Linked DNA regions of Coturnix japonica. The protein of the gene in region 3 interacts with the protein of the main gene of each other region in a biochemical or structural test. Links are inferred from orthologs where the notes say so. Each region holds a gene or a part of one and is shown on either strand. Other genes may lie near its edges.

Region 1 (4,054 bases), on a different chromosome or scaffold from region 3:
CAGAAACGAGGAAGGAGCAATTTTCAAGTGAGCGGCTCGCACATCAATAGGAGTCAGAGTCAGCCGAAGGAGCGACAGCAAGCTGTGCAGGAAGCACAGACACAGCAGCACCACTGAGCCTCACCACGGGCTCACTTCCCCCAGAAAGTGGTTTGATTTTTGCAGGCAACCCCAGCAAGTGACACGTCAGCAGGAGGCACAGGGCTGGCACATGGCTGACACCAGAGCTGTCCCAGAGGCACTGGAGATGGGCACTGACTGGGGGGGAGATGTGGGGGCCACAGCTCTGTGCCCCGGGTCCCCCCCAGAGCAGCTGGTGTTTGTTGTATGCGACCCCTCCTCTATTTCTGTGGATAGTTCTTAGAGGAGAAAAAGGGGAATCAGCCCCACCATGAGACGTGGGGAGATGACACACATTGATTGGCACCCGACAAGGAGTTAAGCTGCTTTTTAGAGCTTTGTGGCATTGCGCAGCCCAGCTGACAGCAGCATCCAGAGGACATTAACCTTGAACCACAGCCTGGTGCAATCTCTAGAGAAGATCATGTGAGCAAAGCCTGGATTTAACAGAGCAATAGGTGAAAGGGAGGAGGAGAAACAGGAGCCTGTAAGGAGACAGACATTCTGTCAGACTGGAGGGAAGACTCGGCTCTGTTTGACACGTGTGTGACCCCAGGACTTCTCTTTTCACACCACGACAGGCCGGGCCCTTTGCTGTACCCCATGGCTGCTCACCAGGCACAGCACAGGGAGCGCTCCCAGGTGCTCACACTGCTTTTAGCTGAGTGCTATAGAGGCTGCCAGCACAGTGTGAAACATGATGGGGGGGAAATGAAGCAAGAAACACACAGCCAAGAGCTGAGAATCCACAAACCACCGACATCCGCAGCTCCCGCCCTGCACTGCCCTGATCCAAGCAGGTCTCCCATAAGCAAAGCTCTGCTCTGGGTCTCACTGGGCCGTGTTTGAACCCAAACCCGTACAGCACTGAAGGAGAAGTCCCTGCACACCACCCTGTGTGCAGCCCAGGGAGCAGCAGCTGCCCTGCAAAGTGCTCAGCCACGTTCATCCCTGAAAAACAGAACTTGCACAAAGCAAAACAACCTGCTCAGCCTCATCCCACTGCAGGCATCTCCTCCCAGCGCAGGCACACAAAGTGATGAAGGAAGTGGCTGCAGAACATACGCACAGTACAATAAGAGGCACCACAAAGGACTCAGTGCTGTGGGAGCGAAGCAGCCCGTGGGGATGGTTGCTGCCTTGAGCTGCGCTCACTGCTTGCTGGTCCATGGGTCCTTTCAGCCCTTTTCTCCAGGGATATCAGCACAGACACAAACACCACATTGAGTTTTTACGCCCCTCAGCTTAATGGGCTCCTGACCTACAAACTCCCCCCACGCCACCACAGGAAAAGGGCTGTGAACAGCATCCACACAATGTGCTGCGCTATGGGCTCTCGCCAAGTGGGACAGCTCTGCTGCAGCGGCTGATGGCGGCTGCCAACCCATCAGTCACAGGAGGATGAGGAAAGGGAGGGAACGTCTGGGAGCAGCAAGGAGACAGGAAGAGGATTCTCCTCCTTCACTGCAGCTCACCCCTCCCAGTGGTGCCCAATGCTCTGTGACCCCCTGACCACCTGCTCTATGAAACCTTCCACAGCGCCAGCCCAAAACCCAACACAGATCCCTCTGCAGCCCATCCTGCTGTGGGGAAGCTCCCGGGGCAGGTTTAAAAGCCTGAGGGCTGAGCCCTAACAATGCTGATGGGTTTGCTGCCTCCGTGGTTCATCTCTCACTGCTGGAGAAGAGCCAAAGAGCAACTGATGTGAGCGGGGCTGAGCACAGCATGACGCAAGCGCTGAGGTAAACAAGCTGTGCAGAGCTCAGAGCAGAGCGGCTAAAAGTAGCCCCAGAGTTAAAGTTCATCTTTCTTTAGCTTCCCTGCAAGGGCAGAGCACGACAGCCTGAGCTCAGCAGTGGCACCACAGCTCCACGTACCCCAACAGCCACAATCGAGCAGTGCTGCCATTGAGGGAAACAGCCCCACGATGGGCTCTGTGTGCCTGGATGTACCTGAGAGCATCCCCCTGTGACACAACTTACAGGGGCTTCACCAACAGGAAGAGGGAGCAGAGGGAGAACATTGAGACACCCTGAGAGCGCTGCAGCCACCTGGACGGGGCTCAGTGCCCACGGTGCAGCTCCGCTGCGATAACAGCCACCCCCACAGCACAGCCCAGCCCCGGCAGCGACCTGCCCCGCTGTGCTCTGGCTCTCAAAGTGCACAGCACGGCACAGCACAGCCCGGCACAGCACGGCACAGCACGGCACAGCACGGCACAGCACGGCACGGCACAGCACGGCACAGCACAGCACGGCACAGCACGGCACAGCACGGCCCGGCACAGCGCGGCGCTGCCACACACCGGACCGCAGGGCTCAGCTCCATGTTCCCAGCCCAGGCGTTGTACCGTGCACCCGGCGCAGTGTCCGCCATGTCGGTCCCGCCGCTCTCAGCTCCCCGCGCTCGGGGCTCAGTGCCGGGCTCTGTCGGTGCAGCAGCTTCGGGGCCTCCACGATCGTCCCGTGCTGAGGCCCGTCGCACCCGAGGCCCGGCCCCGCTCCCCCCGCTCCCTCCCAGTCCCGTCCCGTTCCCTCTCGCTCCGTTCCCCGGTTTCCCATAACTCATCTCACTCTCACCGTCGGTTCCGGCCGTGCCGGCGGTTCCCGGTGCCGCTGACGGTCGCGCTCCGGTCGGTTCCCGGTTCCCGACTGCGGCTCCCGCAGCCCCGGCCCCGCCCCCCTTCACGTCACGCGGGGCGCAGCCAATGGCGGCGCGGCGTTCCGTCCGCCTCGGGAGGGACGGGCCGCGACAGCCAATCAGCGCGGCCGTCCCGAGGTGACGTCACGGATCGCGACGGCGCCGCTTGGGGGCGCTGCCCCGCGCCGGCTGTTCCCGGATGGCGCCGCCTCCCGCCGCGGGGCGGTGCTGGGCAGGGGGCGGCGCGGGGGGAGGTGGCAACTGCCGGGAACAGCCGTGCGGGAAACCCGCTGAGTTCCGGGCAGCGCCGTGACGTCACCGCGCGACCCGCCACCGCCGCCGCCTCTTAAAGGGGCCGCACCCCCCGATGTTCCCGGAGCGCAGCAGCGGCCCCGCGCGGAGCGATGCGGGTCAGCGCCCGGCACCGCCCGGTCCGCGCTGCGGGGACACCCCCCCCCCTCCCAGCAATGGGATCCCGCAGCTCCGGGCCGGGCACGGCCACCCCCCGGTACGGACTGTCCGACCCCAGCCCACCCCGTGCTGGATTCAGGCCGTTTCCCCGTCCCGTTGCTCAGCAGGCGCCATGCTGCTCCGTTACAAAACAGCCTTTATTAGTTGTGCTGCTCACCAGGATGCAGTCATACAAAACAATCTGAGCTTTGTCCAACGCGCTGCGACCGACGGGCGGCAGCTCCGCCGCACCGAGCGGGACACGGCGCCGCCAACGGGGACACGCAGCCACGGGCACAGGGCAGCGCCGCGGGGCGTCAGACAACGAGAGGGAGAACGGTCAGAGAGGAAAAGCGAGTTTATATACGTGGGTACGGCGGCAGCGGACACGGCTGCGCGGGGCGGAGCGGGGCCAGAAGGAAACGGCACGTGGGGCAGCGCCGGGCGGACGGGACGGGAACATCCCACCGGCCCCGCGCACCCACATCCCGCACGTGCAGCCGTGGGGCCGCAGCCTCCTGCCCGCTCCTGCCCCGCTGCCGGCGGCGGCTGCGTGTGAGAGCGGTGCGGGCTGAGCCGGGCGGTGCCGCGTGTGAAACTACAGCAACAGAGCGAAGGCACCGAGAGGGGAAATGGGGAGAATGGGGGGGGGGAAGTGCAGGACGTGGGCACGAGCCGGAGCCGCGCCAGGACCCCTGGAGGAAGGAGACGCTCCGAAACGCTCCGGATGTGCTGGATGTCGGGGCTGCTCGCTGCCAGCCGGGCGCTCCCACAGCACCAGCACATCCCAGGCTCCTCTGTAAGGCAGCTCGGCTGGCGTGGGCTGCTCTGGAACAGACGCCCG
Region 2 (4,311 bases), on a different chromosome or scaffold from region 3:
AACAGCACATTCCTAGAAAAGGAACTGGTGCTGGAAAAGACTCAAAAGCACACACATAGAAAATGGATTCCTCCAAACAGACCACAGCCCTCATCCAAGAATTCCTGACAAACATCCTTTTTATTCCCCTAGAAGGAATGCTGCAAACCGCCTTGTTGGATTGCTGCTCTGCTTCCCTCCCAGCACAAGGGAAAAGCAACTGGTTGGAGCTAAAGCTTTTCAGGCAGTGCTCAAATATAGCAAAACAAACTCCAATAACATCTGCCCAGCAACATCAAACTCACTCTGTTTTGAAGCACTGTTAAATAAACCCCAAACAACAGTATTTTACATTTTCAAGGACATCCTGCTAATGAGTTCCCAAAACAATGGAAAGCACTTTCCAATAAGATACTTTGAGTTGTTCTGCTTGATCAAGGAGGGGAACTAATCCAATTCAGTACTATAGCACGGCAGCTGGCCTGGATTCGATAAGGACAACTGTTAGCCTGAGCACTAAGTGTTAAATTACAGGGAGGTTGCGAGAGCAAGGACAGCAGTTCCTAGAACTGCAGCTCGTGTACCAAGTATCAGGAGCACAGTCCATAACGGGCAGGCACAGCTCTGCCTCCCATGCATTCATCTGCTGTTTCACGTGCCCAGTGCAAGCGAAAGCTGACACCCACAGCAGCACAAGCAGACGGGCAGCAGCGGGTGTCAGAGGGGTGCAGGTTTCCAAATGAGGCTTGGAGCAAACAGAGCAGTTCTGCTGCAGCTTGCATGTTGTTCAGGCACACGTGGGCTTGGGGAAAGACAATGTGTGCCCTCAGCAAAGGGCGTGGTGCCAAGGCAAGCATGAAGGGAATACCAAAGAACAGGCTATGCTGAAAGGTCACGTTACCTCTTACACGCTCCTCGTTCCCTTACACTGTGTTTTTTTAAACCCCTGCTGCCCACAGACAGGAAAATCAGCTTTTTCCTGTGCTCTCAGGGACTCTCCTCACCCAACCATCCCTTTGCTGAGCCTGCAGATCACCAGAGTGCAGGCACTGAGCTCTGCTTCCACCCCTCAGCCAAGCCCTGCCTGCAGGCAAAGGGGGTTACAGAGATGCCAGTGCTCAGTTATTCTCTTATTTGCTACAGCAAACGATCTGCTCCTTCCTCCTGACTTCAGCAACAGCTTTGCAGGAAGTCTCATGCTTCCCTCAGCAGACATTTGCTGGTACTCTCCAGGCTTGAGCTGGCTCACATCCAGCACCTTCAGTGCTTCAACACAGGCAGTTTGCTGTGAAAGGGGCTGAAAACCATTCTCTCCTTTGGGATCCAGGCAAGGAAGCACTGTGCTGTCACAGGAGAACCCAGGGCTTTGCCAACCTTGCACACCCTCACAGCAAACAGCTCCGTGCTTTCCTTCCACACTCTGGACATTCATTAACTCCGCAGCACAAACAAGCAATAACCCTTGAGGGCTCGTCGTGCTGCACTGCAGCCTTATTATCCATCTCCATTCAGCTACAGGCTGAGAAGCATTCTGTATCTCCTCTCTTCCATGACATAATGACTGTGAGCGCTATATAAGTGCTTTCAGCTATTTGCTGCCTGCATGGCAAGGAAGACGTGGCAGAAATAATACCAACCCAAAACACACTGCCTGCATCAGCAGCGCCGACTTCCCCTTTTCTCTCTGTATTTTAACCCAAGCAACATCTCAATGCTGTAAAGAGAACCGATGCCTGGAGGGCTCATAGAACACAATGCTGCCTTCGTTAGGTTTGCACTCTTAGAACAGCTTCAAGAACGGTCCCAATCGAGATGAACACCACCCTGTGACCTGAGAACGGGAGGGTCGCCCCAACAACCCAACACGGCCCTATTTAGGCCACGAAGACCACCATAAAGGTGGAACCCCTCCTCAAAGACCCTCATAAAGGAGGAACCGCCCCCCAAAGACCCCAACCCACGTCAGCCCCCTCAGCTTGAACCCATAAAGGTGGAACCCCCCCCAAAGACCCCCACAAAGGTGGAACCCCCCCATAAAGGTGAACCACCCCCTCAAAGACCCCCATAAAGGTGGAACCACCCCTCAAAGACCCCCATAAAGGTGGACCCCCCCCTCAAAGACCCCCATAAAGGTGGAACCCCCCCCTCAAAGACCCCATAAAGGTGGAACCCCCCCTCAAAGACCCCATAAAGGTGAACCCCCCCCCTCAAAGACCCCCATAAGGGTGGAATCCCCCCCCTCAAAGACACCCACAAAGGTGGAGCCCCCCCCTCAAAGACCCCCATAAAGGAGGTATCCCCCCCCAAAGACCCCATAAAGGTGGAACTCCCCCTCAATGACCCCCATAAAGGTGGACCCCCCCCTACAAAAGACCCCCATAAAGGTGGAAACCCCCCCTCAAAGGTGGAACCCCACCTCAAAAACCCCCATAAAGATGGAACCCACCTCAAAAACCCCCATAAGGGTGGAAACCCCCCCCAAAGACCCCCATAAAGGAGGTACCCCCCCCAAAGGTGGAACCACCCCCTCAAAGACCCCATAAATGTAGAACCCCCCCCCCAAAGACCCCAACCCACACCGGCCCCCTCAGCTGGACCCCAGCCCCACAGGCCCCAGTCTCTCACCGCCCGGCGTGGTCCCGAACACGGTTCCCCCCGGCGTGGTGCTGTAGTCCCCGGGTGGTAGCGGTGCTCCGTCGGGCAGGGCCAGGCGCTTGCCGGGACCCGGGATATCGCGGCTCGGCGTCTGTCCCTGGCAGCAGCGGCCCGACATGGCGCCCGGTCACGGGCTGCTGCTGCTACTGCGGCCTACCCGCCGCCAGCCCGTCGCTTCCGGTGTAAACCACGCCCCCTTCCGGAAAACGAAGGGGCGGGGCTTAGTTAGTGGGCGGGGCTTATGTGAATACGGGCGTGGCCTAATGGGGGCGGGGCTTAGATGGTGGGCGGGGCTTAGGCCATTGGGGGCGGGGCTTATAGAGAGGTGCCGTGATTGCGGTGCCCCTTATCGGTACCGTATGGTGCTGCAGGATGAGAAAGTAATGGGGTGTTATAAGGGTACTGTGCTGCCAGTGCTTCCAGTGACCCCCCCAGTGCTTCCAGTGACCCCCCCAGTTCTTCCAGTAACCCCCCAATGTGCTCAAGAACCCCCCAGTCCTCCCAGTTCTCCCATTGTCCCTGCATGTGCTGGTGCCCAGTTGCTCTCCCTGCTGTCTGCTGCATCAATTACTGTGTTCTGGATAGGAAAACACCATGTCCATCCTTGCTGGCTGACATCAGCCTTGACCCCCGACTCAATGAGGTTTAATGAAGCCTTGAGGCCATTTCCTTCTGTTCATAGATAATTATGGGGTCAAGGAGCTGTGGGGGAAGGTCAGCTGTTGGGGCACATCCTGATTGGGGCCACAGTCCTTGTGTTGTCTGGCTATCATCCCCTGGTGCCTTGTATCCTATGGGGTATCAAGTCATAGGGAGCCCCCAGCCCCAGCAGAGGGACAGGGCACAGCTCTGGGCTGGCAGCAATGTCCGTCCTGTGTGTGCTGATAATATCTCTGCAGGGTTGGAGCTGGCACTGAGCAGCCTCAGGAATGCACAGTCCTAACAATGGTCCTTCCTCATCCCTCCCTGCCATTCATTTCCCACTTGGACTCAAGATAAAAAGGCAGAGAGAGAAGGGGGAAAAGGTACCTGGACCAGGGCAGGGAGCAATACATCAATACATCAATACATCAATACATCAATACATTAATACAGTACAGCAATACATCAGCAGTAGTTCCACTGGAAACATGGTATGTACTTTAGGAGCATCGGCTCGTGTTGGCAGTATCCATTGGTGACAATGTGCTCATCTCTGGGGGCATTTTATCTCTTCAAAAGAGCTGGAAAGCCTTTATCATCCTCATATGATAGAAGGTTGTCACCTTATTGCCTTCCTAACTGGGAACAGAACTGCATTTGTAGGTCCCTTCTGCACGCTCCCCAGCAACTGCTGTTTTGGCCACTGGTGGGAATCGTTGCCTTTGGAACAGGAATGGGGTGTTGTGAAAATCTTTCTCCTCTGGCACTCTCCCATTTGAGGCAGCTCCCTGCTATGGTGTGTGGAAAACACACCCCCGTGGGTCATGAAATCTTGGGTATTTCTTCACGGGTGCCCCATGACACCCACCCATCACCAAGGGGAAGGCAGCTGGGGGGGGGTGTTCTGTGCTGCTGACATTTCCACCCCATCCGTGTTTACATTCCTTTCTGATCACCAGTGCAGATAACGCCAAACCCACATCCACTTTGCCCGCCCAAGGGCTGTTTGTGCAGATCAAAGTTGCCCCTGGTAAA
Region 3 (3,560 bases):
ATTAAGAAAAAATAAAGTAAATCACAGCTCTAGTCTGAAATGATATTTATCTTCATGAATGAGAACAGCCAGTGACAGCTTGCTTGTCTGCGGTCTTCAATCTCGGGAAGAACAGAACAGCTTCCTTGACAGTGCATCTATCACATTACTTTTGTAATTACTTCTCAGGAATTAGATGTTATCTCATCATGGAAGACAAACAACCTATTGGATCACTGCCATCAGTACAGTTCTTGGATATGAACATCTATTTTCCAGTTAGGATAAGTTCTTAGGTTTGTATAATCTTTTTTCATTATTTTTTTTTCAGCATATAAATACAATGAATTATGCAAGTGAAGTAACGCAAATTGGATTACTACCAGAAGAGAAGAGAATCAGAGCTGACTAACAGAAACCAAGATGCTGTTATTCGTGCTGACTTGTTCCAATTTTGCTTTAATCCAATTTTCAAAGGTTTTAAATTTCATTATAAAAGCCTTTAAGCTCAAGAATAGAACAGAAGAAACTCTTATTTGTACTCAAGATGCACAAACTCTTGTCATATGTTGCAGTGTTGAAAATAACAGCAGCGCAATGAAATCCATAAAGATGGTATCATCATAGCTCAGCCATATCCATACCGAAAGATGTTATTGTAACAACAGATTCAATGGACAGACTAAGAGGTCTCTGCAGTCTGCTTTCATCTAAAAAAACAAACGAAAACCTTTGCAATATTACTTACCTGTCCCCAAGACCCAAAATGTACCCAACCATTGACATCACAGCTAGTGAACGAGTATAGTTTGTTCTTCTGTCAAACCACACCTACAAGCAGAGGCAGAATAGAAGAAGTCAGACAGACATATTGCATGTTTCAGCTTACGTTTTAATTTATACAATAACTGCTGTATTTTGGAATGTGAAAAACACTCAAAATCATTAATTTCCAAGCAGGGAAAGGTCTCACAAAGCAGCAAATTTTATTAGTTTGTGTTAAAAACACCTTCTGTAGGAATTCATTTGAAGTTTGTGATGTGCAGGTACACCCATTTCTCCCACATTCTGCAGAGAAAACAGTACATGTGCTGAACTAACCTCTGAGCTCGGACTTTTCAACCACAGCAGTTTGGCAAGGTCATCGCCAGCTGTGTTATTGACAGCGTGTTCAAACACTTCTACCTTCTGCATTAAAGTCAGGTGGTCATAATCTGGAGCCATCTATAATTGAGAAGCAACATTAAGCAATTAAGAACAGACATTCAGTAGCCCCTCCCTGTACTATGAGAAACACAGTAATCACAAATAATTGCAAGATAAACGTGATATAGTATTATTTGCAGACTGACCAGTATGTTCCCAAACATAGTATGAGAACTACAGTGAAGAACTTGGGTGAAATAGGATAGGAAACGACTTCACATCCAAAAAATAGCCCATAGCCATATTTAATTAAAATACTGCTGAGGTAAATAGGTTCTGAAAAGCGCTTCCTGGGCTGGCACACAAGTTCCTTTCTGGCAGATAATTCCACCTTCTCTAGTAACATTCTGTTTCTCCATTCTGTCTAACTTTGGCCACGTTCCCTAGTCACAATGTTTGTAAATGCCAGCAGCATGACACCTTCTGTAAGACACATCATATTCATGCAAAACACATTTTAGTCTCCAGATGGTGACAACTTATGGTCACTGCTAAAACAGGAAAGGAGAAACAAATAAATTTATGGCCAATTTTGCCTTTTAGTAGCATTTTAGAACACTTAACTGATATTCTTGCACTTACTGTTGATAACAGCAATCAGAAAACAGGTAAAGTAGGAAGAGTGTGTGCACCATTGTTCTTCACTACGACACTGGAGTCCTAAAAGAATGTACCAAAAAATTTGCTACTTTTGCCCATTACCCTCAGCATGATGCGATGTTCAATGTTAAGCAGGATCTTTTTCTTCTCTCTGTAGTCTCGGATGAGGGCGTGCAGTGTGTCACAGTGGGGGACCCAACCTATCAAGCCTGAATTTGTGGACAGTGGAATAACAGCATATCTCTGGATGCTACAGGAAAAAAAAAATGGAAATTCAGAGCTCAAATCATTTTATGTTATAACTCAGTACACTTTAACCTTCCCCCCCAACCCAGACAGACCCGGAACATCCATTTGGATGGCTGATGTGGTTTAAGCAGGAATACGGCTTCTAGAAGGCTCAGATTATGTGACCCATGAATGTCTATAATTCACACACAACATTTGGTATGTTGATGTTTGAACAATAATGTACAGAACTGCAGTCAGTGACCATTGATCAAGCTGTTTATTGACTATAATTTAAAAAAATCCTTGATAAAAAGCCTGCTCTCAGCTTGAGTGCTGCCTTAGGAGTCCATGTTGAAATAGTGTTTATCTCAAATACTATTAACAATTCACAAGAAAGAACTTGTACACTGAGGAAGTTTTTGTTTTATGTAAAACATTTCCTCCAAGTTTCAGTCTATGAATGGATGTTCTCTCACATACTCAAATCAGCTTAGTTCCAATACTCATCACTTCCTTACAAACCAACTGGATATGCCAGGGTTTCCTGTACATTTGTTGGATGTCACTCATGCATAAGCACACTCAGTAACCATCCCCAACACATACCTGAGGTTTTTACGAAGAGAAGTTGGGTCGTTTGCTAGCAGAGTGTTGACCAACCCAAAAAGCTGCATCACTCTTTCATCTTGACGAAGGTCTTCGTGACCTTTCAGAAGGAACACAAACTCATGTCCGTTGCTTCCTGGAAAAGGATCAATAGGGAAAAGTTTACTCTAGCTGAGAAAACACTAAAGAGTAAACACAAGGACACAGAAGAACTGAGAAGTTTGGCAGATGTAGAAGTTTTACGTGACATACTAAAACCAACTGTTTAAATGCTAGAATAGCAAAGTACAAACTGCTTCCTATTACCCATTAATGTTAGTTTCCTGGGCCGCTGCTTGGAGGTGATGACCTGAAGTGAGGGTGCAATGGACTGAATGCGGATGATGGGCTGGTTGGGATCATACGTTCCTGGCACTGCCAATTCCAGGTCCCGGCACATTAAGAGTTTTGGTGACACGTACTGTAGTTCCAAAGAAGTGAGCTACAGAAGACAGAGGAAACACAACTCTTCAAGCATTTCAGTTAAATCTCACTTAAACATCTGAAGAGTTCATGCTGGCAAGGAGCCTAGAACAGTTCACAGTCAGCTGTCAATACTTCAGTACTTGCCAAAAGGGCTGCATAAGTAGAAAACTTGAAGCCTAGGAAGCTTGTGAGCAAATTAAAAGCAGTTAATTCTAGAATACTGAATTTGAACGTTTTGAATAACCAAAAAACATTAAACAGAGATTAGTACTGACAACACGCACTGTAAGCCCCACAACAGAACTGCACCTCTCCTCCTACCTGAGGCAGCTGCTTTGAGATACGCCTGAAAACGTGGTAATAGAGATCCCAAGCCTGGGTTAGGTCCTTGACATTTCCTGATTTCATATACTTCCTGCACCACTCTTGAGCTTCCATTAGATCTCTGCCATAGGCCTACGGAGGAAGTGAAA

What was found. The genes of interacting proteins can lie anywhere in the genome.
Region 1: the proteins of MTOR (region 3) and STAT3 form a complex in vitro, tested with the Homo sapiens proteins (2 studies listed by BioGRID, with this or other methods). The link is inferred for Coturnix japonica from reciprocal best matches to the Homo sapiens genes MTOR and STAT3.
Region 2: of the proteins of MTOR (region 3) and EIF4EBP1, one has a biochemical effect on the other in vitro, tested with the Homo sapiens proteins (29 studies listed by BioGRID and IntAct, with this or other methods). The link is inferred for Coturnix japonica from reciprocal best matches to the Homo sapiens genes MTOR and EIF4EBP1.

Annotation. Positions count from the first base shown.
Region 1 is NC_029542.1:4,519,735-4,523,788, forward strand, and holds the start of STAT3 (signal transducer and activator of transcription 3), read right to left. Parts: upstream 2,828-4,054; 5' UTR 2,700-2,827; intron 1-2,699. UniProt on the Homo sapiens protein: Signal transducer and transcription activator that mediates cellular responses to interleukins, KITLG/SCF, LEP and other growth factors. Once activated, recruits coactivators, such as NCOA1 or MED1, to the promoter region of the target gene.
Region 2 is NC_029537.1:3,620,569-3,624,879, reverse strand, and holds the start of EIF4EBP1 (eukaryotic translation initiation factor 4E-binding protein 1), read right to left. Parts: upstream 2,828-4,311; 5' UTR 2,753-2,827; coding exon 2,605-2,752; intron 1-2,604. UniProt on the Homo sapiens protein: Repressor of translation initiation that regulates EIF4E activity by preventing its assembly into the eIF4F complex: hypophosphorylated form competes with EIF4G1/EIF4G3 and strongly binds to EIF4E, leading to repress translation.
Region 3 is NC_029536.1:3,567,312-3,570,871, forward strand, and holds part of MTOR (serine/threonine-protein kinase mTOR), read right to left. Parts: intron 3,544-3,560; coding exon 3,409-3,543; intron 3,104-3,408; coding exon 2,929-3,103; intron 2,759-2,928; coding exon 2,623-2,758; intron 2,036-2,622; coding exon 1,888-2,035; intron 1,204-1,887; coding exon 1,081-1,203; intron 811-1,080; coding exon 728-810; intron 1-727. UniProt on the Homo sapiens protein: Serine/threonine protein kinase which is a central regulator of cellular metabolism, growth and survival in response to hormones, growth factors, nutrients, energy and stress signals.